Macaca fascicularis: one gene and its partner. The protein of the gene in region 1 purifies or fractionates together with the protein of each later gene. This does not show direct contact. Links are inferred from orthologs where the notes say so. Each region holds a gene or a part of one and is shown in the gene's direction. Other genes may lie near its edges.

Region 1 (3,806 bases):
GCTCCTAACTAGATTGTACCATTTTGACATCTGAAGGAAGATGAGATGAATCCTCAAAATGTATTCTGCCATAAGCTGATTACAAATATTAGGCCAGGCGCGGTAGCTCACACCTGTAATCCCAGCATTTTGGGAGGCCGAGGCAGGCAGATGGAGGTCAAAAGATCGAGACCATCCTGGCCAACATAGTGAAACCCCGTCTCTACTAAAAATACAAAAAAATAGCTGGGCGTGGTGGCAGCTACTCGAGAGGCTGAGGCAGGAGAATCACTTGAACTCAAGAGGCGGAGGTTGCAGTGAGCTGAGATCGCACCACTGCACTCTAGCCTTGTGACAGACAGAGTGAGACCCTGTCTCAAAATAATAATACTGTGTACGTTGACTAACAAAAAAGTGAAGCATCATACATTTAAAATAATTATTTTAATTACTCTGTTTCCAATAGATTATTTTTAGACAATGAATTTTCTTCTGTGGACACCGTGATTTGTTATGCACCATATCCTAATAAGAACACAATGATCATTTGCAAGGAAAAACCTCTCTTTAAGGAGTCTTGATTTCCCGTACCTCCAGCTATTCTGGGAGGCTGAGGTGGGAGGGTTGCTTGAGCCAAGGAGTTTGAGGCCACCCTGGGCAATATAGTAAGACCCTGTCTCTTAAAAAAAAAGTTCTAATTTCTTTTCTTTTCTTTTTTTTTTCCATCTGCAGCGGTTGCTGATGCTATTAGAACAAGCCTTGGACCAAAAGGAATGGATAAAATGGTAAAGAGTTGAGTCATTGAGTACTAATTGAGCACTGCTGTTCACACTGCAAGACCTTGATGGAGGGTTAGATGTGCTGTTTAAAAAGTAAAAGATGGGGCTGGGTGTGGTGGCTCACACCTGTAATCCCAGTACTTAGGGAGGCTGAGGGGTGAATCACCTGAGGTCAGGAGTTCAAGACCATCCTGACCAACATGGAGAAACCCTGTCTCTACTAAAAATGCAAAATTAGCCAGGCATGTTGGCTCATGCCCGTAATCCCAGCTCCTCGGGAGGCTGAGGCAGGAGAATTGCTTGAACCTGGGAGGCAGAGGTTGTGGTGAGCCGAGATTACGCCATTGCGCTGTAGCCTGGGCAATAAGAGCAAAACTCCGTCTCAAAAAATAAATAAATAAATAAAAATAGTAGAAAGTGAGTGAGGCACAGTGTATCATACCTGTAATCCTAGCACTTTGGGAGGCCGAGGTGGGTGGATCACAGGGTCAAGAGTTTGAGACCAGCCTGGCCAATATGGTGAAACCCAGTCTCTACTAAAAATACAAAAATTAGCCAGGCATGGTGGTGAGCACCTGTAGTCCCAGTTACTCAGGAGGTGGGAGGCTGAGGCAGGAGAATCACTTGAACCCAGGAGGCAGAGGTTGCAGTGAGCCGAGATTGCACAGCTGCACTCCAGCCTGGGTGACTGAGCAAGACTCCATCTCAAACCAAAACCAAAAAAATAGTAAAAAGTGTAGGGTACCTGGAGTTTAGAGGAAGGAGAGATTACTTTGGAGTCAACAGGACTAAACTATAATTCATACTTTGTTTAATGCTTTTTAAACGATGATACCCAATAGATACCCAAACATAGGTATCTATTATTTAGTTAAGTGGAAAGTATTATAAATCCAAGTGTTGGGACTTCAGTTTAGTATTCCTTATGGATGTAACTTTGTATTCTAATGTGGGTCTCTGGGGGTAAAACAATAATGGAGGATCATCTGGATGATACTACAGGTTATTCTCCTCTCTGGATGTTTGAAAATCTTTCCTTCCCAAAAATGCTGTTGTCCTTTTTGTAGGACAAAAAAAGAAAAAAGTTACTGTGTTGATTATAAGAATTGTGTTCACCGCATTGCATGGTACTCCTTTAGGGCATCCATGGTGGAAATCATGCTTCTGATTAATAAGAAATTATTAAAGATAGCAAGTGCTTCTTTATAATATTTTTCCTTTTTTTCTTTTTTGTGTGTCTGCGTTTCTTCACTTTTAGATTACCCTGCAACAAAGGCACTTTTTTCTTTTGTAAAGTTGGACTGTTGTGCGTATTCTTTTTTTTTTTTTTTTTTTTTGAGACGAAGTTTCGCCCTTGTTGTCCAGGCAATGGCATGATCTTGGCTCACCGCAACCCCCGCCTCCCAGGTTCAAGCGATTCTCCTGCCTCAGCCTCCCTAGTAGCTGGAATTATAGGCATGTGCCACTACGCCCGGCTAATTCTGTATTTTCAGTAGAGATGGGGTTTCTCCATGGGTCAGACTGGTCTTGAACTCTCCACTTCAGGTGATCAGCTTGCCTCGGCCTCCCAAAGTTCTGGGATTACAGGCATGAGCCATCGTGCCCAGCCTGTTATTGCACATTCTTAAATTATTATGCTAATGTAAGGGAAGATAATTTAAAATTCAGTACTTTGCAAACGGAAATTAACTTCTCTATTTTGAAATATAAAAGTTTAATGAAACTGTTAAGGTGTCATACTGAAATACAACTTTAAAATTTTCTAGATTCAAGATGGAAAAGGTGATGTAACCATTACAAATGATGGTGCTACCATTCTGAAACAAATGCAAGTGTTACATCCAGCAGCCAGAATGGTAAGTATAATTTTAGGTGAGTCTTTTTTTTTTTTTTGAGACGGAGTCTTGCTCTGTCACCCAGGCTGGAATGCCATGGTGCAGTCTCGACCCACTGCGGCCTCCACCTCCTGAATTCAAGCAGTTCTCCTGCCTTAGCCTGCTGAGTAGCTGGGATTACAGGTATGCACCACCACGCCTGGCTAGTTTTTATATTTTTAGTAGAGACGGGTTTCGCCATGTTGGTCAGGCTGGTCTCAAATTCCTGACCTTATGATCCACCTGCTTCGGCCTCCCACGTGCTGGGATTATAGGCATGAGCCACTGTGCCTGGCTAGGTGAGTCTTTTTTAAGTGTATTTGATATTTGGTAAACAGTTAAATTTATTTATTTGATCACGTATTTAAGCACAATGAACACTTTTTGTGCTAAACAGGCATATTTTTAGGATACTTTTTTTTTTTTTTTTTGAGACGGAGTCTTGCTCTGTCGCCCAGGCTGGGGTGCAGTGGCCGGATCTCAGCTCACTGCAAGCTCCGCCTCCCAGGTTTACGCCTTGTGCCTAACATTGTGCTTTTTGATGTGAGGTGATGATAAAACACAAATCAAGCCAGGCATGGTGGTGCATACCTTTAGTCCCAGCCACTCCTTAGGCTGACATGGGAGGATTGTTGGAGCTCAAGAGTTTGTGGCTGCAGTGAGCTATAATCACACCACCACACTCCATTCTGGGTGACAGAGTGAAACCCCAGGAAAAAAAAAAAACAGCTGGGCACAGTGGCTCACACCTGTAATCCTGGCACTTTGGGAAGCCAAGGTGGGAGGATTGCTTGAGCTCAGGAGTTTGAGACCAGCTTGGCCAACATGGTGAGACCTTGTCTCTACTGAAAACACAAAAAATAATACCTGGGTGTGGTGGTGTGCACCTGTGGTCTCAGCTACTTGGGAGGCTGAGGTGGGAGAATCACTTGAGTCCAGGGGCAGAGGTTGTAGTGAGCTGTGATTGGGCCACTGCACTCCAGCCTGGATGACAAAGTGAGACCCTGTCTCAAAAAAAAAAAAAAACACAAGTCACCTTATACTTGTCCATGGAAATGAGTATTTTTCCTCTCAAATGATTATTGTGTTCTTATTAGAATATGGTGCATAACAGTTCACATGTCCACAGAAGAAAATGCATTGTCTAAAAATAATCTGCTGGAAACAGTAATTA
Region 2 (4,298 bases), on another chromosome or scaffold:
GGCTGGAAAACGATGGCTTTAAATTTGATAAGGGCTTTTTTTTTTTTTTTTTTTGAGACAAGGTCGTGTTCTGTCACCCAGGCTGGAGTGCAGTGACGTGATCTCTACTCATCGCAGCCTCGACCTCCTGGGGCTCAGGTATCTCCCGCCTCAGCCCCCCAACTAGCTGGGACCACAGGTGTGCACCACCATGCCTGGCTAATTATTTTTTCATTTTTTTGGTAGAGATACAAAAAATGCAAACATTTATTTTGTATTGTCGCTGCGTTGTCCACACTGGTCTTGAACTCCTGGGCTCACACGATCCTCCCTCCTCAGCTTCCCAAAGTGCTGGGGCTACAGGCATGACCCACCACTCCTGGCCCATTGACCTGGCCCATTGATAAGGCTCTTGTGCCCATTACAAAATGGGTTTTTGTAACCCTAACCCTTAGGTACCTTAGGTATTCGTTCATCTAAGGGCACAGGTCCAAGCATGATCAAGGGGCATGGATTTTTCTCTGTTCTGTTTCCAGCTGTGCCCCAGTGTCTACTGCAGTGTGTGGTCCACAGTATGCACTCAGTACATGTTTGTTGATTGACTTAACGAACCTCTCCTGAGGTTTCTCCAGAGAGAATAAGAGCTTCCCACTCCCCAGGTGGGCCTGAAGGATGCTGGCTGGATGTCTGTGGTTTCTGGTCGGGGCTGGAGCCTTTGCCCTGGGTGAGACTTGAGTCTGATGGCAGAGCTGTGGTTCTTCCAGTTCTAAGTGGGACATGGCCCCTGCCTTCAAGAAACCCAGTGTGAGAAGGGAGACAGCGCAGTCCACTGGTGATGGCAGTAGGAATACAATTCCTATCTGTGGAAGTTTGCTCTGTGTAGGGAAATGCTGAGGGCGTTCATGCACCATTTCATTTAAGTGTAGTACCTAGTGCCGTGGCTCCCGCCTGTAATCCCAGCACTTTGGAAGGCGGAAGAGAGAGGAATGAGTCCAGGAGTTCAAGACCAGCCTGGGCAACATAGTGAGACGCTCCTGGTCATCTCTGCAAAAAATTGTAAAATTAGCTGGGCATGGTGGTGCACACCTGTAGTCCCAGCTACTCGAGAAGCTGAGGGGGAAGGATCGCTTGAGCCCAGGAGTTCGAGGCTGCGGTGAGCCATGATCGCCCCACTGTACTCCAGCCTGGGCAACATAGTGAGACCCTGTCTCTGCAAAAAATTAAACACTAAAGATCGCGCACCATCCCTGACCTTTTGCAGAGACTACTGAGGCCCCCAGAGGGTGAGGGCCCCGCCTGATCTGGGAAGCAGTGTTTGCTGTGAGATTCCCTTCCTGGCAGGGCTTCCTGCGAGCGCTTGGCAAGGCTGCGTCGTCCTGACCCTTCCATCTCAGCCCAATGTCACTTGCTCAGAAAAGCTATTTCCGACTCCAGAGGGGCCCCCGCCCTCCGCAAGCCCCCCCAACGGTGGGTAACACCATGTGAATTTCTTCACTGGTGTTTCTCCTCCCGCCCCTCCGGGAGGGGGTGGGGACCCCGTTTTGCGGCACTGGGCGCCTCCCCACTCGGCCTCAGTTTCCCCACAGGCCCAGGGACTGAAGGAAGGGGGCGGGTGCCCGGGGACCCGGACGCGCGGGCGCAGGGAGGGGCGGCGCGCGCGGGGGTGGGCGCGGGGCGGGCCGCGGGTGCGTGGGGGCGGCCGCGCCACCTTAAGGCGGCTCAGCCTGCGGCTCCCGGCCGAGCCCCGCCGGAGGGAGGCGGCTCCGCGCGGGGCCCGCCGCCCGCGCCGCCGCCGCCGAAACCCGGCCGCGGCGCGCCCGACCTTCTGCGCCGGCTGCCGCGGCCGCCCTCGCCGCGCCCCCGCCCCGTCCGCTGCTCCCGCCCGCCCCGCGCGCCCCGGCCCGGGGAGGGGCTCCCACGACCCCGGGCGCGCGCGCTTGGGGGCGCGCCAGGGACTCCAGGGTCCCTTGCCCCGCGCCGCCTCTCCCTCCTCCCTCTTTCTTCGGGCAGCCTCCCCCCCACCCCACTTCAGCCTCCCCCACTCTTGCCGCCTCCATATCATCAAGCTCTGGTGGCGCTTGGAGGGCTTCCGGGATCGGCAGGATGTACCCCCAGGGAAGGCACCCGGTGAGTGGGGGCTGCGGAGAGGGGGTCCCCGGTGTCCTGGAACTCAGACCCTGACGTCCCTCCCCAAACCCCCCCAGACCCCGCTCCAGTCCGGCCAGCCCTTCAAGTTCTCTATCTTGGAGATCTGCGACCGCATCAAAGAAGAATTCCAGTTTCTCCAGGCTCAGTACCACAGGTGAGGGGGGGCCGCCCCAGGGGCCGCGGGAGTTCACCTGGGCGCCGGGGCGGGGCGGGGCCTCCGGGGAGCAGGGCGGGGAGGAGGGGCTCCCAGGGCGCGGGAAAGGCCTCCAGGTGAAAGCGCAGGTGCAGAGGGGTCTGGGGACAGTCAGAGCTGGGGCATTGGGAGCCCAGGAAGGGGCGGGGAGGGACTGGGACAGGAGGTGCTGGGAGGTCTGTAAGGAAGTCGGGAGGGGGAGATCCAGCCCCTCACTTTGGAAGCCGGCCCACATGGGGCGGTTGGGAGCCCCTTGCCCTCTCTCTCCTTCCCAGCCTCAAGCTAGAATGTGAGAAGCTGGCCAGTGAGAAGACGGAAATGCAGCGACATTATGTCATGGTGAGGGCACTTATGATGCCAGGGTGCGGGGAGAGGCGGGCAGGGCTTTGAGCCACGGTGGACTCTGGGGTAGGTCCCTGCCCTTCTCCGAGCCTCGTCTTTCCTGTCTGTACATTGGGCGGCTTTGGGATTTCAGGGTCTCTCTCTCGGAGGGTCCACCCAGCTCTGGGAACAGGGAGACAGGGAGGACCTCTCGCCTGGTGGGGCCAGGGCCTCTGGACGCTTCCTACCTGCCCTGCCTGTCTGGGGAGAGTAGAGGGGGCCCTTCCAGGCAGAACCCCGGCTTTCTCCTCTGGGCTTCTCTTCTGAGACCCCGTGGAGCTGGGGGTGCTCTGCGTCCTGCTGTGATCCCCCGAACCTGGGGGGCTCTTGGAAGACCCTGGCATCACCTGACTGGAGGAGGGCACCCATCTCCACTGCAGAGGTTCTTACTTGGTTTTTCCTTTTCAGTATTATGAGATGTCTTATGGTCTCAACATTGAAATGCATAAGCAGGTAACTGGGTTGGTGTTAAGCGTGTTCAGGAGGGAGGATGGGGGTCTGGAAGCCCTGGGAGGGACCCAGTATGGGCAGCCGGGGCCAGAGCAGACCTAGGGAACACGGGTCTCATCCTGAAATCTCCTCAGAGGTCACAGAGGGCCTATCTGGGACCAGGAAGGCAAATTTCAGCCTCATGGAAGGAAAATGAGTCCCAACTTCTGAAGACAGTAGCCAGCAGTTGAAGCGTCCAGCAGAGAGGCAGGCAGCGGGCAGGGGCCACCAGGCATCCCCATCAAGGAGGGCACATAGCAGAGGCAGGGCAGCCAGGCCAGGGAGGCTGTGGAGGTGACTTCTGTCCCGGGAGGGGGCTGGATGAACACTCTTCGAGGTCCTTTTCAGCCCAGAGAGTCTGAAGTTTTGAGATGGACTCCAGGTTCTGTTCCTGCTTTGAAGCTTCTGAGATTGGTCTCAGTGTGATTGGCTAAGGTTCCGAGATTGTTCTCCAGGCCCTGAATTTGATGCCATGGTTCAGACTGTGACCCCACTTTTCCAAGACAGACCTCAAAACTCTGTGGCTATCTTCAGGGCTTTGAGACTGACCCCAGTGCCATAAGGCTCTGAGCCTCTTCCAGAGCTTCTCAGTGTGATCCAAGGTTCTGAGGTAGACCTCAAGGTTCTGAGATAGACCTCAAGGTTCTGAGATTGACCTCAGGGTTCTGAGATAGACTCAAATTTCTGAAATTGACCTGAGGGTTCTGAGATAGACCTCAAGATTCAGAGATTGACCTCAAGGTTCAGAGATAGACCTCAAGGTTCTGAGATAGACCTAGGGTTCTGAGATTGACCTCAGGGTTCTGAGATGGACTCAAATTTCTGAAATTGACTTCGGGTTCTGAGATGGACCTCAGGGTTCAGAGATAGACCTCAAGGTTCAGAGATTGACCTCAATGTTCAGAGATAGACCTCAGGGTTCTGAGATAGAACTCAAGGTTCTGAGATAGACCTAGGGTTCTGAGATTGACCTCAGGGTTCAGAGATTGACCTCAATGTTCAGAGATAGACCTCAGGGTTCTGAGATAGAACTCAAGGTTCTGAGATAGACCTAGGGTTCTGAGATTGACCTCAGGGTTCTGAGATAGACTGAAATTTCTGAAATTAA

Evidence for each region.
Region 2: the proteins of CCT4 (region 1) and TLE2 purify together in Homo sapiens (affinity purification with mass spectrometry; 3 studies listed by BioGRID and IntAct, with this or other methods). This does not show direct contact. The link is inferred for Macaca fascicularis from reciprocal best matches to the Homo sapiens genes CCT4 and TLE2.

The regions. Positions count from the first base shown.
Region 1 is NC_088387.1:60,032,483-60,036,288, forward strand, and holds part of CCT4 (T-complex protein 1 subunit delta), read left to right. Parts: intron 1-711; coding exon 712-764; intron 765-2,524; coding exon 2,525-2,614; intron 2,615-3,806. UniProt on the Homo sapiens protein: Component of the chaperonin-containing T-complex (TRiC), a molecular chaperone complex that assists the folding of actin, tubulin and other proteins upon ATP hydrolysis.
Region 2 is NC_088393.1:3,729,559-3,733,856, reverse strand, and holds the start of TLE2 (transducin-like enhancer protein 2), read left to right. Parts: upstream 1-1,318; 5' UTR 1,319-1,446; intron 1,447-1,714; exon of another isoform or gene 1,715-2,045; 5' UTR 2,046-2,082; coding exon 2,083-2,106; intron 2,107-2,183; coding exon 2,184-2,281; intron 2,282-2,595; coding exon 2,596-2,659; intron 2,660-3,109; coding exon 3,110-3,154; intron 3,155-4,298.